Coturnix japonica: one gene and its partners. The protein of the gene in region 6 purifies or fractionates together with the protein of the main gene of each other region. This does not show direct contact. Links are inferred from orthologs where the notes say so. Each region holds a gene or a part of one and is shown on either strand. Other genes may lie near its edges.

Region 1 (3,500 bases), on a different chromosome or scaffold from region 6:
TTTTTTGCTGTCAGTTTCCTCATTGGGTGACTTTCACAGTCCTGCTTAGACTTGGTCTAGAAACTTGCTCGTGGGTTACCAATAACGCAAATCATAAAGTTGTTCTAGATCGAGCGTTGTTCCCTGCTTTTCTTTTCTCCTTTGCTCTCTACCCATTTGCTTACAAACTGGAGGATCTTTCCTTTGAAACTTCATGGCAAAACAGAGGTCAAAATAGGCAGGTTTATGGTGATGAAGGCTTGAAAGGCTCTGCCTCGTGCTTTTCCATAAAAGCAATAAGCCAGAATTTGGTTGACAGGGCTCTAAAAATGACTTACCGGTATATATTTCAGTTCCTACTTACATTTAAATGAAAGGTAATCATTTTTAAGAGATGTTTGCTTTTCAGTGTTGCTAAACATTTTGGTAACGTTTTTCTGCCTAGGATTTTCAAATTGACATTTATTACTTTCCTAGTGTACCACATGAAAACAGCAAAGAATGAGATGCAGGTCTATTAGAGAATAGGTTTACAAAACACTGCTTTGTGTGTTCTTGAAAAGCAAAATTAAATGGCGTTATTAGCACAGGTCTTGTTTTCTAGGCTGTGTAGTTAATTGCAGGGAAGAATTTGCAAAATACAAGAGTTCTGAGAATTTTTCATGCCAAAATCTTGATTGAAATCCAGGAACCTTTACCAGCCTTTGTAAACTGACCCAGAAAGAGAAATGAGACAAACAGGATCTGTAAACAAAGATCACGTGTTTTTCGCAAATACATTTTGGAAGGATGGTTGCCTAGGGAAACAGGAAATGGGAATTATACAACAAACAAAAAGGACTGCCAAGCAAATTTGCTGACCTTTTTTTTTCTTTCAGGGAATTATGATGAAAACTGTTGGAATCCTCAGTATTTAAATGTACTTCTAAATCTGAAGGTGGAACAGAAGAGTAGCTTAGCAATTATACCACAGCCATACAGGAAATAAAGAAAACTTCCTTGTAATATTTGTCCTAAAGAAAACTATGCAAGACTGTGAGCTGTGTGATCATAAGTTTATCTTGATTTTTTTTCTTTTTTTTTGAGCTTTCAAGCTCAATTAAATATTGGGGAATCAATGCTTCCTTTTACATGATGAGATAATGACAAAATCATTCCATTTTTATCTTGCAAATATATAGTCTAGCTCTGTTGCAATGCAGCTTTCTTCTCATTTTTGAGGGCAGCAGTTTTTCACACCTTGTCTATGCTTTTCTCTAGGAAACAGCAGCTCTCAGGATGGTGTTTAATATGCTTCCAGGAATCACAAATAAGGGAATAAGAGAATTTGTACAGGACTTGTTCTTAGTGGAGAAGAAAATCAACCTTTGGGCAGTGTTTCTTCCTCTCATCTCTCTAATGTGACTTTGGAGGGCACATGTGAGGAGCGAGTGTTTTACTTAGCAACTTCTACATAGCTCCTGTTTAGAGATGCTTCAGTTTTAAGTGGTGGTAAAAAACAAGAATGCTGTGGAAAATAGAAAATACTGGGTTCACCTGGTTTTATATGAAAGTTGAAGAGGTGAAAGTACTTAAAAAACAGAAGATAGGGATAATAAATAGCAAGGTTGAACTGAAGATACTCTTCATCCAGAATACTGAGAAGGTAGTTGAATAAAATCTTGTACCTGTACCGTGGATATTAGAATATCCCACTATTCCCCTCTTAGAAGTTCATAGAGAGGATAATGCATTTATCTGATGCTTGGATCCTTTCCTGTATCCTCCTTTATTTTTAGCCTTCAACTTATTTTCTTTCTTTTGTCAGTTCCAATGACAGGATTCACTCAAAGGGCTACCATTGATCCAGAACTGAATGAAATCCATGTCTTGTCCGGGCTCAGTAAAGATAAGGAGAAGCGGGAAGAGAATGTAAGGAATTCTTTCTGGATTTATGACATTGTGAGAAACAGCTGGTAAGTCAATTAAAGGGGAAAACTTCCAACTTCTACAATGATTTCTTTAGACAGCAGTTTTTAACACAGTCATACTTATCAAGTAACTATGTAATAATTTATAACTATGCACTGGTAATCTTGAAGACTCAGTTCCTTTCAGGCTTTCTTTCCCAGTGTATTTAGAAAGCCATCTGAAGGGAGGAAACTGTTCTTCCTTCACTGGAGACAGGTGGGAAATGGGGGAAGAAGTAAGGGCTTATATGAAGTTTTTCCTGTAGGAAATGTTCAAGGTAAAAAAACATTTTCCTAATTCCCCGCTGGACCCTCCCCTGACAGGTCCATGCTATTCCCTCTGGCCTTGTTACTGTCACCAGTTCTTGCAAGGAGCTCTAGGTTGCTATGGGGCCTTCCCTCAGCCTTCTATGCTCTGGGCTGAAGAACTTTGGTTTTGGACCTCAGCTGTTCCTTGTACTTCTTGTCCTCTGGGCCCTTTCTTATCTCTGTAGCTCTCTTTTGGATGCTCTCTTAAGAGTTCTATGTCCTTTTTATATTGTGACATCCAAACTTCACCCTGTGGTTGAGCTGAGACCACACAGTACAGAGCAGAGAAGGACAATCCTTTACCTCACCTGGCTGGCAGTGCTGGGCCTTATGGACCCCAGGGTACGTTTTCCAGGGCACATTACTGATCTAGATTCAAGCTACTGTCAACTAGAATCCCCAGCTCCCTTTCTATGGGACTACTCTCCAAGCCTATCACCCTCAGTCTATGAATATCCAGAGTTGCCCTATCCTAGTTGCAGAATCTAGCGCTTGCTGTTGTCAAACTTTATGTACTTGGCAATTCCCTTGTCCAGTTTGTCAAGGTCTCTCTGTAAGACATCCAGTTGGAAACAAAACAAAACAAAAAAGTCAGTGTGGGAAAGAAATTAGTGATTAAAATGGTACTTTTGCTAAAGTTTGTGATCTAGATTTCCCTCATCCCTACTGTATGCAAAATACTATCCTATTAATCAGTACTTATTGTCATATATTTTAGGTCTTGTGTCTATAAAAATGACCAAGCAGCCAAAGAAAATCCAGGTAAAAGTCTTCAGGAAGAAGAGCCCTGCCCAAGATTTGCCCATCAACTGGTTTACGATGAGCTGCACAAGGTATGAGAGTCTAAATACATAGACAGTAATTTTATTTTTGCTGTTTATCCAGTGTTAGTTGCTTCTTCAGAGATAGTACAATGAAAATATTGCCTGTTTGGTGTTAACTGTTTTGGATTACTCAGCTAACGCATTAATGTGTTTTGAAATGAGCTGTACTTTTCCCTCTTATGGATAGCTCCTACAAACAATGCAGGTTTGTCAAGTGGCAAGCTACTGTCTTCTCTTGTGCTTGAGAGCACCTGCAGCTTTGTACGTTATCTTCAGGGACTTCAGCTCAAAACCTCTTGGAGTTGTTTCTTTAGTTTAGCTGTTGCGTTCATCCCTCCAAATACTCCCAGACCATTAACATTTCTATAAGAAATGTTGGCAATGTTATTGTTCTCTTCTCTCTTGTTGGGAATGTTTTTCTCTTGAGAACTCCTTGGCA
Region 2 (4,146 bases), on a different chromosome or scaffold from region 6:
AATCCCTGGTGCTCCTTGCTCCCCCTTCTGCCCCGCTGTTGTGTAGTTCTGTGCAGTCTGTAGGTACAGGGAAATACAAGCTGGGTTGCAAACTGGTTTCTGTCACATCATGAAGTTCATTTCAGAAGCTGCTCTTCTAATCAGTTCCTATCTGAGTACAGCAGACATAGAAACTGAGGCACGCAGGAACTGAACGACTTGCCCAAGGCTACAGGAAATCTGTGGGAGATCTGGGAATGGACCCCAGATGTCCTGAGTTTAGTCTTAACCACCAGACCATCCTTCCTGTCTTTTTGGTAGTCCCCTCTGCTTCAGGAATTCCATTGATGGATCACACTCATGAGTTAATCACTCATCTGTTGCCCAATCCAGTAATTTACTTACATTAAAGAGTCATTTGGAAGGAAAAAAACACAACAACCAAACACCTAAAACGAGCTGTGGTTATTGCTGTCCTTTATTCCCAAAGAGTAAAGGAAAAGGAGTGCAAAAAAAACCCAGCATCCAGAACTAAGAGGCTTTTCCATTACTAAGCAGACTTCCAGCAAACGACAATTTTGCTCTTAACAAAATTGGATTATCTATACTTGATGTTTGAGTCTGTCTGCGTGTTTATATTTCAGAGAGTTTAAAACATCAAAAAAAAAAAGCATGAAGCAGAATTAAATCCATCTAAGGCAGGAATCTGGTGCTGTAGTGAACTCTTCTTTTGCTGGCAGCCTGTTTGGATGCCACATCCCTAATGGGCTCAGGGGGATCTGCTGTTGTGTGCAAACAGCAGCATGGAGTTCTCTGGACTTGGGGTGTGAGGACACAGCTGGTGCATGAGTGGTGCCTCCAAGTGCTGCTCTGTGCTGAGCTGTGAGGCCTTTTTCCCTTTGACTGCTCGAACTTCAGAGCACAGAAACACAAACAGCGTCTGAACTCGGTGCGATCCCTGCCCGCATCGATCCTGGCTGAACCTCAGCCTGTTTGGTTTGGTGAGGGTTTGTTTGCTCTTGGAGCTGTTTGGATTTGCTTCACTTTTTTATTGTACTGTGGTTTATCTTCGTTTATACCATAGTGGTGAACTTCCAGAAGAGACCAAATGTCTCTGCATCACAAGGCACTATGAGCAGCGCATCAAGTCTCTCTTGCATCATTAATATCTTAGTTGTGTGTATGCAGAGCTTTCCAGCGTCTTCTTTTTGCGTTAGACTCGCTGATAAAGCTCTGAGCTGTGGGGCTCGTGTTTTGTATCTGTATTTTCCGAACTCTCCAGCCGTTCCGAAGGGCAGACAGGCGGGTGGGGAGCTGCCACCAGGGGGTGCCGTTCCCTGCACGGAGCCGCAGGTTCGGCCCGTCCACGTTCCTCCGGGCGCCGCCATTTGATGCAGCGGCTGCATCACCCGGAGCTGCATCACCCGCAGCTCCGCTTGCTCGGGGTCCCGGCTGTCGGTCCCCGTTGGGCTGCAGTTATTCCGTGTGTGCTCCACACCAGGTGCTCGCAGGTTTAGCAGCGGTTCGGTTCAGGTGTTGGGTACACGAGGTGCTGTTTGTTCCCTTATTTCTTTCACTGTCGTCCAGAAATAAAACGCCGAGCCCCCACCAGCCCTGCCGCCCCTCCTTCGCGACGCTCCGCTCTATGAACCCAGCCTCTCTCCCTCCCCCCGGGGCTGAACGAGCTGCGCCTGCCCGAGCAGGAGGGGGGAGGCGGCCGATGTTCCTGGAAGAGCCCGGCCTGGGGAGTTGGTCACATTCTTGGCCGGGATTCAATGACTGAGGCAGACACCAACAAACAGAGTCGGGGGGGAGGAGGAGGAGGAGTGAGGGAGGCTGAGCCAGCCCGCATTAGCTCAGCTCTCAGGCACTCTCAGTCTCTGCTGGAAAGAGGAGCTGGGAGGATGTTAGCGCGGCTCCCCACGGCACGTTGAGAGCGAGAGGAAGAAAAGAAAGGAAGAAAGAAAAGGGGAGCGAGGCGTCGGGGAGCCGGATCGAGCGAACGGAGCGCTCGGGGCAGGCAGCCCGCAGCGCCGCTTCGGAAGTGTCGGAGATCGGGGCCTTTAATTCTATTCCGCCTCGCTCCCTTCCCCGCACCGAGCCGCCTTCCTCCTCCTGCTTTTTACTTTCCTTCCTCCTGGTGGATATGGACACAAGCGGGATCGCTGCAGAGAAGCAGCAGCCAACAGCTCTTATTTAACCCGAGGTGCCCGGAGCGCGGCTCGGAGCGGCGTTCCGGGGCTGGCAGTGCTCGGATGAAGACCTGGCTTCGGTTTGACTCTGCGCTCCGGCCGGGCCGGGCACGGTGAGAGATTGTGACGGAGCGAGAGAACAGAAAGGAGAAAGAAACGCCAACGAAAAGGATTTATTTCCTCGCCGACTGTGGATTGTTAAACCGGAGTGGGAAGGGGGAAAAAAAACCAACAAGGGTGGGTTGTTGTTTTGTTTAAAGAAAAGAAAAAAATCCCTTAAGTGGATTTGTACCAGCGTGGAAGATAATTGGGGATTTTTTTGTTGTTTGTTTTTGGGAATAGAAACTAAAAAATGGAGACTGTAAGTAGAAGCAGCTTCCAGCCTCATCCAGGACTGCAGAAGACCTTGGAACAGTTTCATCTGAGCTCTATGAGCTCCCTGGGTGGCCCTGCTGCTTTCTCAGCGCGATGGGCACAGGAGATGTACAAGAAAGACAATGGCAAAGACCCCGCGGAACCTGTACTGCATCTGCCCCCCATCCAGCCCCCCCCGGTGATGCCTGGTCCCTTCTTCATGCCCTCGGACAGATCCACTGAGAGGTGCGAGACCATCCTGGAAGGGGAAACCATCTCCTGCTTCGTGGTGGGTGGGGAAAAGCGCCTTTGCTTGCCCCAGATCCTGAACTCGGTGCTCAGGGACTTCTCCCTGCAGCAGATCAACTCGGTGTGCGACGAGCTCCACATTTACTGCTCCAGGTGCACCGCTGACCAGCTGGAGATCCTCAAAGTCATGGGCATCTTGCCCTTCTCTGCCCCCTCGTGCGGGCTGATCACTAAAACTGACGCTGAGAGGCTTTGCAACGCCTTGCTTTATGGTGGCACCTATCCTCCCCACTGCAAGAAGGAATTCTCTAGCACGATTGAGCTGGAGCTTACAGAGAAGAGCTTCAAGGTGTACCATGAGTGCTTTGGGAAGTGTAAGGGACTCCTGGTACCAGAGCTTTACAGTAACCCCAGCGCAGCCTGCATCCAGTGCTTGGACTGCAGGCTCATGTACCCGCCTCACAAATTTGTGGTCCACTCTCACAAATCCCTGGAAAACAGGACTTGCCATTGGGGCTTTGACTCTGCAAACTGGAGGTCCTACATCCTCCTCAGCCAGGATTACACTGGGAAAGAGGAGAAAGCTCGGCTGGGCCAGCTCTTAGATGAAATGAAAGAAAAATTTGACTATAACAACAAATACAAGAGGAAAGCCCCCAGGGTAAGTGATGCCTTAAATTCTTATTTTAAGAAGGAGCCAGGGTGAAGAAAGAGAGAAAAGGGATTTTCGATGACGTCCATAGATGTACTCAATTTGTTACCAACCGTTTTCCTTTTAGAGTCGTTTAGCAATCTAATCGCGTTCTTAATTCTCACCACGTGTGCGTTCATGTAGACGAGCAGCGTTCGACATGGCTCCTTTTTTTTCCCCTTTTTCCTCTGGTTTTGTGCTGAGCTCGGGAGCTGGAGTTTGATTCTGCTGTATGTGTTTGTGTATCGTATTGTACACAGAACCTGATCTTTGAAACCCATCACGCTGCCCCACTTGAGCAGGAAGTGATTTGGGGCGCCGGGAGCTTCGCTTGGAGGTCAAGATGGGAAAGAAAGGAGGGGAAAATAACTCTGATGGCCCCAGACACGAATGCAGACGATTTTCTCCTCAACTGCGTGCCCCCAGGGATGGAGGCAGGGGCTGAGCTGGAATAAAACGTGGCCGCTGAGAATGTAATGCAGGTTACTGGTGTTCATTGGAGTGCAGAACGGGAGCGAGCTCTGTGCTTTTAGGGGATCCCAGCGGAGTCTGGCTCTCCCCAGCAAGACAGGCTTTTGTATATCGGATTATGTGTACGTAAATGGATCTGAAGGGCCAGATGCAGCAGCTCGTTGCGTTGTGCCCTGCTGTCCTGAGGCCAGACAGCGTTTTTCAGGTGCC
Region 3 (3,500 bases), on a different chromosome or scaffold from region 6:
GCAGCAGCCGTTTGTGTTTGACATCGAGGACTACATGAGGGAGTGGCGAGCGAAGATTCAAAGCACCATTAAGCGGTTTCCCATAGGAGACAGGCTAGGCGAGTGGCAAGCCATGCTGCAGAAGTAAGTCATTGTTCTGCTGTTCAGCTTCTTGTGTTCTCTTACATGCCCATTTCTGCTTTCTTATGGCAAAAGTTGCTCAAATCTAATATGTGTTGTTTTACTTCTGTTGTTTTCTGTGGTTTGAAAACTGGCCGAGCCCAGAGGGTGGTGATCACTGGTGCTGAATCTGATTGGAGTCTAAAGATCAATACTGGCTCCAGTCCTGTTTAACATCTTCCTTCCTTAATGCCTAGAGTTCACAAGTGGATTCAACTACCAATTACCAATAATAGCTGGACAAATAAGTGATAACAGAAATTAAGGGCCAGAATTGAAAGAAAGAAAGGATCAGAATGTTGGGGCTCCTTGAGGTCTACCTGAAAACCAGGAGCTTCTCTGAGGTTGGGATTTTCTGTGTATATAGAGAGAGGGAGCTGTGTCTTATGTGGCCAGGAGACATCAATGGCACTTACATAGTAGTGAGCTCTTACAGATGACCTTTAGGCAGCAGTAATTACATAAATACTGTGTATACACTGGAAGTTTTGTTTTTTTGTTAGAGCCCTGGTAATGAGCTGAGTTTGTTCACTGAAATTACAACTTCTATTGATTTTTTTTTTTTTTCCTGCATTGGGATTACTTTACATTACCAATGTCTCTTCATCCAGTTGTGTTCTCTTGTTTTCTAGTATGGTTTCTTCCTATTTGGTTCATCATGGGTACTGTTCAACAGCAACTGCCTTCGCCAGGGTCACAGACACTGCAATCCAGGAGGAACAGACCTCAATAAAGAACAGACAAAGTAAGTCTATGGGGTGGTCACATGTTGCATTCTGGCTGTGTTATTTGATTGCAGCACTGCTATCTGGAACAGAGGTAGTGCCAGACTGGTGGAGAATAGATCTCATCACTTGCACTGAACCGAAGTCACTGTGCTTCCGAGGTTCCTTTGGATTTGAGTTAGACTCAGTGATCACCGTGGATCCCTTACAATGCCACTATTCTAGTCCCAGATGGAGCTGTTGGTGTCCCTGCAATGAGCATGTTGGACTAGATAACCTTCAGAGGTCCCTTCCAGCTCAAATGATTCTATGATTCTACAGTTCTAAGAATTAATGTTCTGTTGTCTGCCTTGAATACTTCTCTTTCCTCTGCAGTGGTCCATCTCTTAGCATGTAAGCCCTCTTGGCTCCTGTAGAATAAGGCTTTGCAGCTTTCTCCTGCTGCACTTTTGCTTTTTCAGCCATTCTATTCACAGACTCAGACCACAGGCTCACAGAACATTGGTGTGTTTTCTGCATTCTCTCACTGAATGCAGGCTGTGCCCTGCCCTGTGTGTTTCCCTTTCCTTTGTGAACCGTTTCTCACATGGCCATCACACATCAGGTGCATCACCTCCGTATATCACATGTGCTGAGCCAGCATGCAGTTAGTTTGGATACTTTGCTCATTGCTCAGAGTAACAGAGCTGCTGCCCATTAGTGCCTTTGTATGGTTAGTGCTGATGGGTTTGTCTGCTTCCCAGGCCTTGCAGCCCTCACCCACCTGGTGCTCTTGCTGGTTTGGGTCTCCCAGTATGTGAGACAACCTGGTCTGATCTTTGTGAGCACAGGTGACAAGGGAGCCTGGAAGGAAGGAATACAGAGCTCTGCAGCTGGGGCTTAAATAAAGGTGTGAAGAGAGCACAGGTGGGGAAACAAAAAGAGAAGAAGGTAGAAAAGGCAGAGACATCTGTGAGTGCTGCCAGACAAGGCAAGGAGGAGAGCTGGCAAAAGCAGTGGGACGTGGAAAGTTGTGAGCAAGGAAATGGAAGGAACAGAAGGGAATGAAGGAGACCCAGGGGTTTCCCCTCTCAAATCCTAACTTCCCCAGCACCCTCCTTGCTCCCATCAAGCAGTCGTGTCCTCGGACTTTCCCACTGCTGCCTAAGCTCCTCTGGCTAAAGGAGTAAAGGTGCAGAGCACTCCACCCCAGTGCACCCACTTCATCTTTCAGATGCTCCAGGTGTTTCTGAGCTCCGAACAGATTCTGTCACATTTACAGACTTTTCTTCATCCTAATCTGTAATAAATACAGCGTGCTCCCCAGTTCTTCCCAAGCCCTTGTGTGAAGAGGTAGTGGGGAGCTGTGTGACGTACCTAAGACTGCTCTCTGAGTGTTGGCCTGCCCTGTGTGTCAACAGGTTTCCTTTTACTTTCAGGAATACAGAAGCTAGTATTAGCAGGCCGAGTCGGAGAGGCTATAGAAGCCACCCAGCAGCTGTACCCCGGCCTCCTAGAACATAACCCCAACCTGCTCTTCATGCTAAAGTAAGTATGAATAGCTTTCTGCACCCTGATGCCGTAATGTGAAGCTGAAGGAGATAAGGGGCTGTTCAGTCATCCAGGGAGGCTGCACACCTTGGTCTGAATTCTGCCTGAGGTCCCATTGGTCACCAGTGTTTCTAAGTTACAGAGTAGAAGGGTGAACTCTCATTGGCAGTTTTAGTATGTGCCCTGAAAAACCCATCCATGGTCTAATTTTGTACTACCTGTGGAGATGGTGGAGATGAAAGCATGTCATAAAGGAACAATGCAAAGGAAATAAATTTGTGTTTTGGGACTAAGAAAACTCTCTTTATCTCACTGTGTGTCCTCACAGCAGGCTTAGCATCACAGTGATTCTCTTGGGTCCTGAGCAGAGCGGACTTGGGAGCATTTGTTTAACTGGAGGAGTATTTCTAAGGCCTGCATCTGAATCTGTGAAGAGTTTCATCTCTGATGCTATGGCCCCATTGACACCGAAATGCTTTTTCTCCCTCTCTCTGCCTTCACTGATGCTAGCCAAGGTGGAACATTGTGTTGATGATCCTGGTGCTCCCCCAGGTGTGGGGCTGAAAAGAAGGGTGACTGCTGTTATACTGCTTGTCTGTCTCAGTGTGGTTCTCAGCATTCATTAGCACCCGCATGGCACTACATGAACTCAGAGTACTCACAATACAAATATACCAGGAGTCTGAAATGGCTCTTTCGAAGCCAAGAAATAACTCCTGTCCAATTCCTAAGGCTTCTGCAGGCAGTAAGTGAGGAAGCAGCAGTGCAGAACATGCTGGCTGTCACGCGCCCTTTTCTTCTTCCTTCCCATGAAATCAGGTGTCGGCAGTTTGTGGAGATGGTGAACGGGACAGACAGTGAAGTCCGTTGTTTCAGTGCACGCAGCCCCAGATCCCAGGACAGTTACCCTGGGTCCCCCAGCTTAAGTCCCAGACACGGATCCAGCAACTCACACGTTCACAGTACCGGTAGGTGCTTTATTTTGTTTCCTACGTCTTCCAGTGCAAAGAGCAAATATTAAAGGCAGGCTGCTGCACTGTGCATTACCTTCTGCTTTCCGTGCTGAAAGTGCTCCTTTCCCTTATG
Region 4 (3,500 bases), on a different chromosome or scaffold from region 6:
CCTGTTGCGTTGGTGCATACCTTGTATTCATGAAATCATCTGTTCAGTAAACAGAAGTGTTGCCAAATAAGGCTTTTGTTTTGAAGCCATGTATCCATTTCTGCTATTTGTTACTCCTGACTTCACTGCTATTGATTGTCTTACCTTGACTGTAGTGAGATACAGTATGAATGCTTGGTAGTCTTTGCTGTTATTGTCTGCCTTCAGAATTCTTGGGGAAGATGAACCTAAACCTAAAATGCAACAGTCACAAATGCTTTCTTCAGCGACAGGGATTTTTAGGTTGAAATCTTGCTTCTTAGTGTTATGGTCACACTAAGGAAGTTGTAACAAAAGCATAGAAAGACATCAGCAAAATTTACATATATAGATTCCTCATTAACGACTACTACAACATATATAGAACTGTAGCAATTGAAGTCAAAAGACTGTGAACTAAATTAGATTCATTATCTGGGATGATGGTGATGATCTTCCTTGCCTCAAAAAAGAGGTCAGAAGGAAGTCATCTTTAGTAGGCAGTTATGAAGGCTTGATGAACCAAAACTTAGTTTCAGATTTGAGGCTACCCAAGGAGGTTGTAGGGTCTCCTTCCTTGGAAATATTCAGAAGCCAGCTGCCCTAGTTGATAGATGAAGTTGAACCAGAAGATATCCAGAGGTCTCTTCCAACCAACCAAAACAATTCAGTGATCCAGCATAGAGAGCTGTGAATCATTAGTGCACGAGTGATAACTGATGTTATGCAATAGCAATGAAACTTACAGTATATTATTGTTTTAAGATTAGTTTAAAATCAATTTGACTGGATAATCTCTTCAGAAATATTATTAAATTCACCTTTAAAAACTACTGATACAGTGACATGTGTTTCTAATTCCCTCAGGGTACTCATGAATCCTCGAAAGAGGAAGTACTGGATTTATGATATATCTGGGTTTTTTTTTTTGCTGTTTACATGTTTGTGTGAAACCACAAATGAAACTAGTGTTTCTGAATGTCTGCTTCCCACATGCCAGTCCTTGCTTGTGTCTTTGAAAACAGTCTACAATGTCAAGTCTGGAATGGTAATTCCAAGCAGGGAGATCACAGGAGTTAAACTGTGAATTAGATGTTTTATCTGCTTTTTATCCATCTAAATTTCTTACTGGTGATGCAGAATTATTTCTGCTGCTTTGTACATCAATACAGTCCTGTTTTACTTTTAAGTTAGCATTTACATCTATGCTTTATTTATTGTTTTTTTTTAAACAGGTTCGAATGCAAGCCTTGAAATGCTTCTCCGTTCTAGCCTTTGAAAACCCACAGGTATCAATGACTCTGGTAAATGGTAAGTATAATGCAACCGCTGCTTGTTTGACACTTACTTTATTGACTGATTGAATTAGTATCACTTTGAGTTCTCTTCCATTACTTACAGTGTCGGTTGACGGAGAACTGTTACCACAAATCTTTGTGAAGATGTTACAAAGGGACAAGCCTATTGAAATGCAGCTCACATCAGCCAAATGGTAATTTTCATCGGGAATTGGAATGCAATAGTGTGCAATCTAGTACTTCTTAACTTTTGGTTTTATCCTCGCTGCATGCGAGGGAACTAAAACTTTAGGTAGGAATAATGAAAGATGTTATTTGTATTACCTAGATACTTGAAATATTGTTATCACCTAGTCATCTTATTTTTTCTTGAGCATAAACAAGAAAAAAACCACCTCTGTTTTCTTCAGTTGAACTGCAGTTTTCTCAAGTAGCTTGAATTTGATTATAAGTTTTATGTTAAATAGGTTATAGTCAGTAGTTTGTCCTTACAAAGTATAATACCGAAATGTAATTGTGTACTACCAGATAATGTGCTTGTTACACCACTGTCCTGAGAGTTTGCTTTGGAGACTGTGGCTGTGGTGTATTGAGAACAGTAAGCCCTCTCCTAAAATAAGAAGAGAGCAAGACACTCTCTCAAATGGTTTAATTAAGCATAGATTGTTTTTTAAACTTCATATGTTCATGCAACAGAATTAGTTACTAATTTATTTTAAAGTTCATCTCTCAACTTTCCCTTTTGATATGGGCAGATTCCTGTATGTTCATGTACCTAATGACTTTGTACCTTGTGACAAAATGTGACTGAATTCTGTAACATTAACACTAGGGTTTCACACTCGATAAGCTGGGAGCTAACTCTGCTTAAGACCCTTTTTCTTCTCTTATATTGATGAGATGGAGTAAATAAATGACTTCAGGTGTTTGAAGAGATATGTCACTATGAACTACTAAAATCTAACATGATTTGAGTGTTTGGTCATTGATTATTTGATTTGGTCTCCTTTAATTCTTTCCATTTACAGCTAGTCCAGATTTTAGTGGCTTATCTTTGGCTTACAGCAATGAGTTCTCTCATTCTATTCACCAAAATAATTTCACTGACACTTGTCAGAGCAAAGGCTTGAGTTTCTGGCTGAGGAATAAGGATGGGGGGAGTAGGAGGATGGTCTCTTTTGTCACGTTGCCAGGTTGTGGCAACTTAACCCATTCATGAAAGCAATTATAAATAAGTGTACGTTTGGGGAGGATTGTTTTAGGAAGGTAATCCCACTGTGTGGTGGGAGGCTGGACTGGGGGCCTCCTGCATTCCCCTCTAGCAAATCAGGTTTTCTTCAGGTACTGAAGGGGAGGCAAGGTAAATCAACTGTCTTGAAGAAGTCTGTTGTGATCGATTTGTGTTTCTTTGGCAGTTCAGAGAAAACAGAGAATTAGGGTTAAAAAACCGAGTTCATGAGAACAGGTTATTTTTTTTAACTTAAGATACAAGAGCATCGGTTAGTTATGAAGGCAAATTGCAGTTAGAAATCTATTCTGGCTTTGGTTTCTTCTTGTTCTAGGATAAACGCTCTCAGATATGTTGGTATTCTTTACTAATCTGCTTTGATTTGGAGGGATTTGGCTGGAGATTCTCTCATTTTTGGCTCAAATGGACTTTTGAAAGCACAGAAGAAAAAATGTGCAATGAAAAGCAAAAAAAACCCTACAAGAATGAGGGGAACAAACCAGTGTCTTGTGCTTCAAGAGTGGGCTCCTAATTAGCCTGTGGGCAGCCCTCTTTCCTAGGGCACTGAAGGTATCAGTTTCATGACAGTGTAAGGACTTCAAAAATCTACTGGCTTTTCTTCTCTAAATCTGTTCCCTGCTTGTATCCCTTAAAGTAAGTCTGTATCTCTCTTCACTCCTACTCCTTCTAGGCTGGAGTAGTAGGTGAAATTGTAACTGCTTTTCTGATAAAAAATTAAGACTTCACTTTTGATGTGCCAGCTTTTGTTGATTAACGTGGGATTCCTCTCTGGTTTATTGGTAGAGTCCTTAGAATACAGAAGTAGAGTTATTTTGGTGAATTTCTGAAGCCTTCTGCTAAGCTGGTTTTAATCTACATACTGGTATACAGGGATATCTGAGGAAGCTTCCTTTGCTTTTCAACTGTTCAAGTAGACCTGGAAGATCTGACTTAAT
Region 5 (2,858 bases), on a different chromosome or scaffold from region 6:
CCACTTGTTGGCCCTGGGCTTGGAAGGGAGGCAGGAGCAATTCCCATCTCTTTCACTCCTATGAGAACACTGCTTGTTTTGAAGGCTTAGCACAAAACAGAATGGAGAAGGGGCAAGGTGCCCCTCTGACACAGGCACCTGTGTCTTGTGGCACCAGCAACCTCAGCCTTCTCACCAGGACAGGGCGTGCCCTGGCTCAGGGCCACAGCAGCTGGCTGATTACTTTGCTGCCTTGACCTTTGCTGCTGCTTGCCAGACTGATGTTTGTTAGATTTTTGTCAACAAATATTATTTTTATATGTATATATACCCAAAGAAGTTCAGGACCTTCTGCAACCAGGCTGGATGTGGTTGTGGATGTCTGCAGTCCCTGTTGCCCTGTGCTAGTCCTGGGGCACGCACTCAGTGCTGCTCTGAGAGAAGAGCAGTCCCTTCAATGAGGAGGTCCTGTCTTTTTCCTCCAGAATAGCACCTGGCACTTGTAAGCACTTTTCCTGAATTAAGCCTCCTGGTTTTTGTGTTTACTTGTTTTCCTTTTGTTCTAGGGGAAATTCCAAGCTTTCTACCAGTACGCAAAAACATTTAACTCTGATGACTTTGATTATGAGGATCTGAAAAACGGGGACTATGTCTTCATGAGATGGAAGGTAAACTGTGTGTCGCCTTCTCTGATGAACTGACAGGGACTTGAAAGCGTTTTCAACTACTGGTGTTGGCCTAATGAAAGATCTTGTCCTGTCTGACCTCATTAACCTGCCATACTTGCAAATTCCAGTGTGACTCCTGTCTAGTCATCTCGTTGCATCTTTAAAGGCTGCAGTCATGCCTGAAAACACAACAGGAAAATTGTACTTGGTGCTTCTCCAGAGGTTCAGAGATTCTGTATCTCCAGCTCCTGTGCTGGGCCTGGGTTTGATGCAGTTTGATGACCAGTCTGCCCCTCTTGGCTCTACAGCTGGATTGAATCCTCTCTCTTGACATGAACTGTGTGCAGCTGTGAAGGGAGGGGATCCTCAGTCAGCTCTGCTGATTTTGTGATTGGCCTGTTTTGGAAAGGGCAGGTGTTGGACTGAAATGGATTTTGTGTGCTCTTTGAAAGTACTTCTGCTCTCAGTTCTTGCTTCACTGTAAGATGCTTACAGGGCCAGGAGGTGAAAAAATACACAAATCCTGGTCTGGGCTGCTAGGAATGCAGGGAATGCTCAACCAGGAGTGCTTTTGTGTTAGTGGGTGCTGGTACTTATCTTGGGAGGGCCCATTTGGGTGCGGGATGGGAGCATTTGACCAACATTTCTAAATGCAGATTATGTCTTGTGTGCAGGAACAGTTCCTAGTGCCAGACCACACTATCAAAGACATCAGCGGTGCTTCCTTTGCTGGTTTCTATTACATCTGCTTCCAGAAGTCAGCAGCATCTATAGAAGGCTATTACTACCATAGGAGTTCAGAATGGTAAGGAAGCTTTCTTCCTTTTAGTGGGCCTCCTTAGACAAAGCAGGGACTCCTCTTCTGCCCATCTGCAGGCTTGGGAGCACCCAGGCAGCACACTTATTTTGGTGGGAAGGAGATTTGTTTTGGTAGCTGGACCCTGATGGGGAGGGAGGGTTTATGTGCTTGGCCCATCTGTGTGGTGTAAAGTGCTGTCTTTTGCATGGCTGATGGTAATTGAGCTGGCAGCATGATGCAGGGAAACACTGTATGGAAACATGCTGTGGAGCAGTGAAGCAATGATCTGATGTGTGTGAGGTGCTTTGGGAGGCAGACCCCAGCTGTCGTTCACTATTAGCATCCATCTAGAAACCTGGGCTCCAGCCTGCAAACCTTTGTTGGGGTTGCCTGTAAAAGTCTGAAGTAGTTCAGGCTCTGAGCTTCTCCAGCAGGAGAAATCTTGTGGCCCTTCAGAAGATATCAGAGGGAGCTTAGGTGCCTTCTCACCTATAACAGCTCTCCTGCTGCTCCCTTTAGGCAGGTGTCTTGTTAGGCCAGTGCTTTGTAGTCCAAGGTGCTTGAGGTGTTGCTGCAAGATGCAGGGTACAGTCAAAGTTAATTGGTTGTGGTAGTGGTGTTTTTTTTTGTTAGAGCTCTCTGACAAGTAGCTGTGAGAGCTCTTTTCCCTGGCTTTGGATAAATAATAAAGATATTTGTCACGCACAGCAAGTGAATCTGTAGGGTGTCTGGAAACTCTCAGAGGGAAGGAAGGTGCCTGGGAGGCTTTCAGATGAATCCCCTCAAGCTGAGCTTTGAAAGATTTGAGTCTAATTTTCAGCTGAAGCAAACACTGTTTGAACATGAAAGTTGTCAAACTTCAAAAGGTGTCCAAAGCCCGCAGTCAGCCCTGCTCGATGGCAGTCTGGCTGCAGGTAGCTCCAAGACATGGGAATGGAAATGAGGAACGAAGCTGAGACCTCCCAGGGGTTTGGCACCACTGCCAAGAGGTTTGAATGCCACTGAGACTGTCCCAAAAGGAAAGGGAGAACCCACCTGGCTGCAGCCTGTTGAACAGGAGCTCTTGGTTCAAGGCAGGAGGGTCTGTTGCTCTGTGTAATCTTCTCATCCATCTTTCTCCTCTCTCCCAGGTATCAGTCATTGAATTTAACTCATGTTCCTGAGCACAGCGCTCCTATCTATGAATTCCGATGACAGCTGTCCAGAACTGATACTGCACAGAAGCAAACGGGGCAGGAGAGCATGGCCTGCCAGGAGGACTGTGTCCCTGTCGGAGCACGGGAATGCACGCTTCTCTCCTGCCCCTCGGACTCACGAGAGAGAGCCTGAATGTTAACCCACCAGCCCAAGGAGCATGGCTGCTGGAGCTTAATTCTCCCTCCTGTCGAGTGGCGATTTGATCTTTAATCTGG
Region 6 (4,009 bases):
TCATGCAGCTCTCTAATGAGCTGCTCCTCATTTGGAAATAAATCCTGTTTATTGCAAACTGGGCATGGTCTGAGTTAGCCTCACTGTCTTAACCTAGAAGAGATTCATATGTAGCTTCAGTGTGTGTGTCAAGTTTTCTCTCAGCTGTTTCTTTTATAACAGTGAGAGTGGAACCCTCAAGTGTGCACATTCGAGCCCTGCAGTTTTCAGTCCTCAAGTTGTGAAGCATCAACTTGATGGACTTTGCTGCCTTCAGTGCCGAGTTACAGTTCTTACTTAAGGAATTTTGTGACATAAAGGAATGGTTGTCTGGAAATGTTGCTTCCCAAGATAAAATTATCTTCATTTCTTTCACAGATTGAAGTGGACCTTGGTAAAAAGTGCTGGTACCATTCAATATTTGCCTGTCCCATTCTCCGTCAGCAAACAACAGATAATAATCCACCTATGAAATTAGTCTGTGGTCATATTATATCAAGAGATGCTTTGAATAAAATGTTTAATGGCAGCAAGTAAGTTACATTTTTTTTGCATTCCAAGCAAAGTATAGAGAATGATGACTCTTAAAACTAGAATATGGCATTTGAGGAAAGCTGGCTCCACAATTCCATAACTGGTGGAAGCTTGTAAGTCTTTGAGTATGACTTTGAAGTCAGATGGCTGAGCTGATGTGCTGGAGGATAGCATAAGAAACCTTCTGATGTTGTTGAAAGGGTTTACGTGAAGGAATGTAGACAAAGGAGTAATGTTCCAAGCTGTAAATACCATCATGTTGTCACAAAATTCAAAGAGATATTTCTGCACACCTGGTTTTTCACTGGGAGCAAGGCTAGTAATGGTGGAAACCCCCTTTAAAGTAGGCAGGGGAAGTAAACCTCTGGGGTTTTGGCTTAGTAATTGAGTGGGTAGTTGAATGATCGTGCCTTGGTAGCACGATCAGGAAGAAGGTAACATGTTGAATGTATGAAGCTTCTATGAAGGCTGTTGGCTTTTTTAGAGCTCTTGGTTGTTTTGTGACATCCAGCTTGAAAATAAGTGATCCTGGGATTGAAAACACTGAGTAATGTTTGCATTCTTTGCTCTGTTTAAAAACACAAAACAAAACAAAAAGGGGGAGGGTATACTTTTTGGGTAACTTTATCCATTTTAAGCCAGTAAGCTTACTGCTATGTTATTCCTGTCCCTGGTCACTCATTCCTGATGCTTTTATTCATCAGCTTTACTGCCAGAACAGCTCTGACAAAATTGACTTTGGGGAATGAAAGATGCAAACTTAGAGATAGGGGAAAGATGCATCAGTGCTAGAAGAAATACAGTGAGCAGATGGAGTTGTGCTGGTGGACACCTCAGCAGGGAGGCCAGGCTGACCTATTTAGCCATAGCCTGCAGGTGCTGATCTGTGTGGATTGAGAAATGACAGCATTTTGGGCACAGGAGAGCAAAACTGACTGGATGTTAATGAAATCACACTGAAAGCCACCAGCCTGCTTAAAACGGCTACAATGCAACAAACTAACTAACCCCAAAGCTTAAATAATAGATTAGCCATGAAGAATAATTTCCTGGTATTTAATAATTCAGAGGTGAGTGGGTAAAAGGTGAGAAAACATGATTAAAGGGGGGAAAAAAATGGGATAAGGTTTCTCTTTGTGAAAGGTAACTTTTAGCAGAGCCTTCAAGTGTTGTTGTGTGCTGCTGGGGGAAAGGAGGAAGGGCTGTCCTTGCCAGTCTGGTGGAGGAAGAAGCTTTGTGCTTAGCTGTGTTTCAGCAGGCTTCTGCCTGCATTACTGCCATCCTAACGTGTTGTTTTTGTCCCCAGATTAAAATGCCCCTATTGTCCGATGGAACAGAGTCCTGGAGATGCCAAACAGATATTTTTCTGAAGAGAAGCTTCGTTATGATGCGGTTTGTAAGTGACACTCTGCAATTCAGGTGCATTTCAGGAGAATTAAAACACACCTGTTCCATTTTATGCAGCAGACTGAGGACTCCTATGTTTGTATAAGCTAATGCTACAGAAACTTTGCCAACATTTAGTATACACATACCGAGTGGAAAACGCTACAGAAATATTATTACCATAGGGCTTTACTATACTCTTGGTCTCCATACCTGATCAAGTTACTACACCAGCAGTTGTCATTCAATGCAGGTTTTTGTACTCAATTATATGGTGACTTTTTACTTTTTAAAAGCAGAAACGGATCCCCCCCCCCATTTGTTTAATATTCCTCCTGCTATCATCTATCAGTATCCGTCACCTTAGAGAATGTTTGTGGAAGAAGTTTTATTTCCTGTAATGTGTACATAATTAAACAGAAAAAAAAAAAGAAGAGTTTGATAAATTGAATAGTGGTTATAAAACTAATTTGTATTTTTTTTGCTGAAAGAGCTGTGATATATTCTGAGGTTTTCTTTCCAACACTTGTTTGTTTTTTTTTTTTTTCAACTTTTACATAGAATTCAAAGTAAATGTGCATATATATAAAATATATAAATATATAGCCCTGAGGGGCTTACCTGTTAAAATCCATCACTAATTTATAAGGGTGATGTGTGGGTAGATTACTGCTGGAACAGAGGGAAGAGGAAATCCTGTTCCTTAGGTTTCAAACGTTTGTGTAAAAAAATACTCAATAAAACAAACTTCTGAAGTGGAACTGCTTTTAGTTGACAACGTTTGCTCTCTGTCCTTCATAGTCATGTTCTTTGGACTTTGTATTCAGGATTAGGCTATAAATGTCATGTTGCTGTATAGTTGAATAGTCATGATAGTGTGCTATTTATAAACAGTTATCAAAACCAAATAAATTGTATAAGTATTCATTGTTAAATGGGGGAAAAGCATGTTCTGATGCAGTCTTCTGGTCACTTGGCAGGATTGGGCCCTACGTCACATACTGGGAGGTAGCAAACTTTCTGTAGCTTGACAACACTTTGCTTCTAGCCTTGTTTTTGTAGTAGACTATTACTGCCATTGCCACTTTTTCTGCTGAATTTGTCATATTGTTGACTAGGTTTGTACTCATGAACAAGGTGTAGATCATGGCAGTTGGATCTTTTTCTAGTGTGCAGATATTTGTATTTATTGCACTGTCCTATAGTAGGGCGAGCGGCCATAAGGCATGCGAAGCTACGTGTAAAGTTCTATTTCTGTATTGTGGAGTAAAAAAACCCCAAGTTGAATACTGACACACTGGTCGAACTCACTGACACAATGCACTACAAGGAAGACCGTCTGTGAGACATCTCCACCTTTTGAATCCATGTGGCACCTGACTTGAGAGACTGAGTTGGACTCTGTTGGATCCCTGACGATGGACGTCCTGGATAGAGACACTGAGAGAGAAAAGAGAAGTCAAGGCAGACACGTTTTGAGCCTGGAGTGTGTTTGGTACGTGTGACTTTCTGCAAAGCTTCGATTGTATTCACACTGAGTTCCAACCAACCAGGTTACCGAGTGGTAAAACTAACAAAAATAAACAGGTGAGGATATTATTTTCCACGTAGGCTTCCTAGTCTTGGTGAATTGCTGGGTTACCTGCTGGGTTACTGCTTGCAGTTTTGAAGCTCCGCCAACAGGTGATGCTCGTGGTCTGATTATAGAGCGCTTATGTGCGAGGCAGCGCGATGTGGTGCTGGGTGTGTTTGTGAGGCACTGCCTGCACTTTGGTTCTTTATTTATCTCCTACTACTGCCTGAGTTGTTTCCTTTGCCCAAAGAGTGAGTTATTTCTTACTATAATCTCTTTCTATTCTTATTTCAGATCCGATCAGCAGCCAATGTGTCTCATTTTCTCTACTGCAGTTTGGAAACATCCACAGTGTTTTTAAAATCAGATACTTCTGCTAAATGCTTCTAAAGCATTTTGAAGTGCTGCACTCATTTCTGAGCTTCTGTACCAAATTCGGAACCTTTATGAATCCCCTTGCACTGCAATGCAGAGTAAGAGGAAGGTTCTGTATGTATCCAGATCACTGCTGCACTGGGCTCAGAGCTGGAATGAAAC
Region 7 (3,990 bases), on a different chromosome or scaffold from region 6:
CCTACATGGTCACATAGTCCGACCATCCTCTTATCACCACTGCTACCAGAAGCTACTAAAGCATATCTCATAGCTCCTCATCCAGATGCCTCTTGAACACCAGCAGGGATGGCGACTCCACCACACCTCGTTGTACAGCACACTGTAGCTCGATGGCAGCCATCTCACAGTGGGCAGTGGGAAAAAAGGGAAAGGAAGTGTCAGCCATGACACTTGCCTCGGCTGATAGCGATAGCAAAAATGCTCACTGAAATTCAGAAAAGCTATGAACAGAGCAAATATATCCCCAGATAGCTGATGAGTGCCAAATGATAGATAAACTCTAAAATCCCGAGGTTTAAGGTTTACAGGATGCTTGAAAGAGAGCTTAGACATGCTGGTGGACAGCCTGTGAGAGGCAGGGAATCCGTGTAAGACTTGTCCTCCAGACCATCACAGCTTCATTGTCTTTCTCCAGACACACTCCAGGGTCCAATGTCTTTCATGTACTGAGGGGCACAAAACTGAGCACAGTGCTTGATGTGTGGCTTCACCAGTGCATAGTACAGAGGGATGATCACCTTCCTGTGCCTGCTGGCTGCCCTGTATCTGATACAAGCCAGAATGCCATTGCACTACATCATGGCACTGCCTCACCTGACAGATACCTTGCTGGCTCTGAGGAACCCACTCAGCTTCCTATCAGCGTAGGTGCGCATCACACCTGCATTACCTCGCTGGCACGGGTGTAGAGCAATTAACCTCCCTATTTCCTGCTCCCGTGCTTGTTCTCCAACCTTCTGGCAGCTGGAAACACTGTCTGAAGCTCCCAATGTTTCAGGCTCTAGAGAAGTCCTTCCTCTCCTAAACGTGTCCCAAATTTGTAGGAGGTTCTCCTTCACGTGAAACAATCACCGCAAGCAACCGCTTATGAAACAACAACGCTGTATGCGTGGGTAAGAAGACACACTACCTAACTTCCCCCACCACCGAGACTCCCCGCAGCTTCACGGCCCACAAGCCCCGCTCTCCACCACATAGCGACGCCCACCGCCGTCGCACCTCAGCGCCCATCGCTGTTGCGTGCAGCGGAGAGGCGGGGCCGGGCGGCAGCTGACGGGGGACGCCGGGGCTGGACGGAGCGGGCGCGCACGCGAGACGGGAGGGGACGGGGAGGAGAGAAGGGGGAGCCCGCCCCGCCCCGCCGCGGCGCCCGGCGCGCTCCCGGCCCGCTCCGCTTCCGCCCGGCGCCGCTCTCCGTGCAGCGCTCGCTCCATCGGCCCGTTCCGGCCTGGTTCTGCTCCGCCGCGCCCCCCGGCTCCCATCGGGCAGCCCCGCCGTCGTCATCGCCCCCGCCCCCCCCCGCTACTAGGCGCTCCGGCTAGGGGTGACCCGCCGGTAGGGCCGCCTCTCTCCGCAGCGCGGGGCCTGCCCGCCGCTCCGCCTCGGGCCGATCCGTTGACGGTCGCCGCCGCGGAGAGGAGGAGGAGAAGGAGGAGGAGGAGGCCGGAGCCGGGATGTCCGGGCAGCAACAACAGCAGCAACAGCCGCCGCCGCCGCCGCTCCCCTTGGCGGCCGCCGCTCCGCCGCCGGCGCCGGGGGTCCCCTCGGCTGCGTCCAGCCCCGGCCCCGCGCCTGCCGCCGCGCTCCTGCTCCACCCTCCGCCGCCGCCCGCCACCGCCGCGCCGCCGCCTCCAGCCGCCGGCAGCACCGGGCCCGCGGGGGGCGGCGGGGGTGGCGGGGCGCCGGGCTTGGCGGCGGGGAGCGGCGGCGGCGCCCCGGCGGCGTTCCCGCACGGCGACCCGGCCCTGAACGAGCAGGAGAAGGAGCTGAACCGGCGGCTCCACCGCCTGTACCCGGCCGTCAACCAGGACGAGACGCCGCTGCCGCGCTCCTGGAGCCCCAAGGACAAATTCAGTTACATCGGCCTCTCGCAGGGCAACCTGCGCGTCCACTACAAAGGTGAGGGCCGGGGCAACAATAACAGGAAATAACGCTCCGCGCCCTTCTCCTCCTCCGCGCCCCCCCGCCCGGCTCCGCGATCCCTGCCCCGGCCTCGGCCGTCCCCGGGGCGGCGGTGCGGGGCTCCTTCCTGCGGGGAACGCGGAAACGGGGGGGAGGGGAGGGAGCAGGGGTGTGCTTTGAAGAGGGGTGAAAAGGGGATGAAGCTTTGCGAGGGAAGGGGTGGCCGAGGGACTTGTGTCTGCTAAGGTGGTTTGGTAACTTCTTGCCTCCTGGTTCAACTTGCTGGTTCTCCGAAGGAAGATAAAAATCGAGCCGTGTGCGCGTACGGATCCGAGCGAGCGTAGGAAAGCGGCGAGTGTTGGTTGTTATGAAATGTCATAAAACCTGGAAACGGCCGGCGTACGCTCTGACCTGAAAAAACACGGCCACATCTGGTGCTCCGGGCCTGCTCCGAGGGGAGAGTGGCTGCGCTTCACCACCACTAATGCTGGCGGCGAGGAGCCGGCTCCTTTGTCAGTGCCCAGCGAACGGGTGGGGAGGAAACAACCCCGCAGTCACCCTTCTGGGTTGTGCTGTGTGGTGAAATTCGAGTGAAATCCCGATAAACATGTTACTGTTTAATCGGAGGGGGAAAACGGCAACACAAACACATGGCAGGATTTGGCTGCCGTGAAAGGATTAAATGTACTCTCGGGGACTTGTTTTTTTTTTAATAGAGAGGCTTTATTATGACATACAGAATACTCTGTTCAAAATGCTAAGCGTGCTGTGCCGTATGAAGCTAGTGTGGGAGGCTGGCGACCAGCTACAGAGCAGGTTTCTGGGAGGCCCCGAGTGCTTTAAGGACGTGTTATTTAATACCCAACTTCACATTTCCTGGCTTTTGTTCAGTTTTTCATGCCCTCGTATTTTTAGAAGCGTTTTGTATTTTCTGCCGCTTAGTGGCTGCAGTCGGTTTGAGTTGCTTTTTACTTGTTTTCATAGGGTGATCATAGCTTTATGGCCATCAAGTCCTCCTGTGTGTTCTGCTTTGCCCTGCTCTTTTTGCTCATGAACTAGAATTTAGAGACTTTCTGGTCAGCCGCTGTAATTGGAGAAGTGTATTTTCAGGTTTTATTTGTGCTATTTCTGGTTTCCTCCTCTTCGCCTTAGTATTAAACCAGAAATGTGTTGCTTTGGAGAAATTAAAGCAGGCTCCATATGCCTCTGAAGTAAAGACAGTGTAGGAAATGCCGTGGATGCTCTACTGGAAGATGTGAAGCACAGTTGGTAGGTTATGGGAATAAAATGCCATTTCTCTTGCTCTTAAGTAATAGTAAGTGATGGAGGCTGGAGAGTTCTTAAATTAGTCCAGGGGTCTGTGAAGAGGTGAGGTGTCATGAATGGGTTTTTCTTTCTCCTAGCTGCAAGTGGGAGTGAATGGCCTCTCAAGTGGCCCCTCTTTTCTCCCTGGGAGCTGAATGGAGGTGGATGTGAAGGCAGCCCCGGTGCATGTTACCAGCCTGGCACCTGGGCTCAGCAGTGTGAGGTATCAGACACTCCTACCTGAGGCACTGCGTGGGGAAATAACTGAAACATTTGTGGCCTTTTTCCTCTGGATCTTACAGCCCTACGAATGCAGTCAAAGGGAGGAAAATGAGGAGGTTCAGTGAGGAACATGAGAGCAGATAGCATGCAGAAATGTGCTTAGTGTTTTGAAATGTTGTCCCTACAAATCAGCCGCAAGTAGCGGTCTCAAAAGAAGGCATTCAAAGTATCTTATAGGATCACAGAATTTCCTCTAGGATATTAGGTAACTTCAGAGGCACCACAAAAGGCCCAGCATTTGTGAAAGAGTGGTAGATGTTTTTGTTAAAATATGAATCATGCCTGAACACAGATGAAGATCTGTTGTTCTGGACCAAGGAAGTGTGTCCAAGGAAGGGGGAGAAGATGGGTCTGGCCAAAGAAGCCAGTGGTCACAATTGGTTCTTCTCTTTTCTTACATCAGTGATGCAGTTTCTCAAGCTTTCCCTGCTGTGTCTGTAGTTTTCTGACAACAGAACT

What was found.
Region 1: the proteins of RMND5A (region 6) and MKLN1 purify together in Homo sapiens (affinity purification with mass spectrometry; 4 studies listed by BioGRID and IntAct, counting the BioPlex papers as one, with this or other methods). This does not show direct contact. The link is inferred for Coturnix japonica from reciprocal best matches to the Homo sapiens genes RMND5A and MKLN1.
Region 2: the proteins of RMND5A (region 6) and SKI purify together in Homo sapiens (affinity purification with mass spectrometry; 3 studies listed by BioGRID and IntAct, counting the BioPlex papers as one, with this or other methods). This does not show direct contact. The link is inferred for Coturnix japonica from reciprocal best matches to the Homo sapiens genes RMND5A and SKI.
Region 3: the proteins of RMND5A (region 6) and RANBP10 purify together in Homo sapiens (affinity purification with mass spectrometry; 4 studies listed by BioGRID and IntAct, counting the BioPlex papers as one, with this or other methods). This does not show direct contact. The link is inferred for Coturnix japonica from reciprocal best matches to the Homo sapiens genes RMND5A and RANBP10.
Region 4: the proteins of RMND5A (region 6) and ARMC8 purify together in Homo sapiens (affinity purification with mass spectrometry; 5 studies listed by BioGRID and IntAct, counting the BioPlex papers as one, with this or other methods). This does not show direct contact. The link is inferred for Coturnix japonica from reciprocal best matches to the Homo sapiens genes RMND5A and ARMC8.
Region 5: the proteins of RMND5A (region 6) and GID4 purify together in Homo sapiens (affinity purification with mass spectrometry; 4 studies listed by BioGRID and IntAct, counting the BioPlex papers as one, with this or other methods). This does not show direct contact. The link is inferred for Coturnix japonica from reciprocal best matches to the Homo sapiens genes RMND5A and GID4.
Region 7: the proteins of RMND5A (region 6) and RANBP9 purify together in Homo sapiens (affinity purification with mass spectrometry; 9 studies listed by BioGRID and IntAct, counting the BioPlex papers as one, with this or other methods). This does not show direct contact. The link is inferred for Coturnix japonica from reciprocal best matches to the Homo sapiens genes RMND5A and RANBP9.

The regions. Positions count from the first base shown.
Region 1 is NC_029516.1:2,803,398-2,806,897, reverse strand, and holds part of MKLN1 (muskelin), read left to right. Parts: intron 1-1,786; coding exon 1,787-1,934; intron 1,935-2,955; coding exon 2,956-3,070; intron 3,071-3,500. UniProt on the Homo sapiens protein: Component of the CTLH E3 ubiquitin-protein ligase complex that selectively accepts ubiquitin from UBE2H and mediates ubiquitination and subsequent proteasomal degradation of the transcription factor HBP1.
Region 2 is NC_029536.1:1,500,030-1,504,175, reverse strand, and holds the start of SKI (ski oncogene), read left to right. Parts: upstream 1-1,346; 5' UTR 1,347-2,408; exon of another isoform or gene 2,409-2,513; 5' UTR 2,514-2,523; coding exon 2,524-3,435; intron 3,436-4,146. UniProt on the Homo sapiens protein: May play a role in terminal differentiation of skeletal muscle cells but not in the determination of cells to the myogenic lineage. Functions as a repressor of TGF-beta signaling.
Region 3 is NC_029526.1:1,706,481-1,709,980, forward strand, and holds part of RANBP10 (ran-binding protein 10), read left to right. Parts: coding exon 1-123; intron 124-791; coding exon 792-904; intron 905-2,302; coding exon 2,303-2,411; intron 2,412-3,233; coding exon 3,234-3,382; intron 3,383-3,500. UniProt on the Homo sapiens protein: May act as an adapter protein to couple membrane receptors to intracellular signaling pathways.
Region 4 is NC_029524.1:2,440,076-2,443,575, forward strand, and holds part of ARMC8 (armadillo repeat-containing protein 8), read left to right. Parts: intron 1-1,253; coding exon 1,254-1,329; intron 1,330-1,419; coding exon 1,420-1,510; intron 1,511-3,500. UniProt on the Homo sapiens protein: Component of the CTLH E3 ubiquitin-protein ligase complex that selectively accepts ubiquitin from UBE2H and mediates ubiquitination and subsequent proteasomal degradation of the transcription factor HBP1.
Region 5 is NC_029529.1:5,018,309-5,021,166, forward strand, and holds part of GID4 (glucose-induced degradation protein 4 homolog), read left to right. Parts: intron 1-545; coding exon 546-647; intron 648-1,321; coding exon 1,322-1,452; intron 1,453-2,576; coding exon 2,577-2,640; 3' UTR 2,641-2,858.
Region 6 is NC_029519.1:77,646,903-77,650,911, forward strand, and holds the end of RMND5A (E3 ubiquitin-protein transferase RMND5A), read left to right. Parts: intron 1-357; coding exon 358-512; intron 513-1,819; coding exon 1,820-1,883; 3' UTR 1,884-3,509; downstream 3,510-4,009.
Region 7 is NC_029517.1:68,373,667-68,377,656, forward strand, and holds the start of RANBP9 (ran-binding protein 9), read left to right. Parts: upstream 1-1,190; 5' UTR 1,191-1,496; coding exon 1,497-1,941; intron 1,942-3,990. UniProt on the Homo sapiens protein: May act as scaffolding protein, and as adapter protein to couple membrane receptors to intracellular signaling pathways. Acts as a mediator of cell spreading and actin cytoskeleton rearrangement.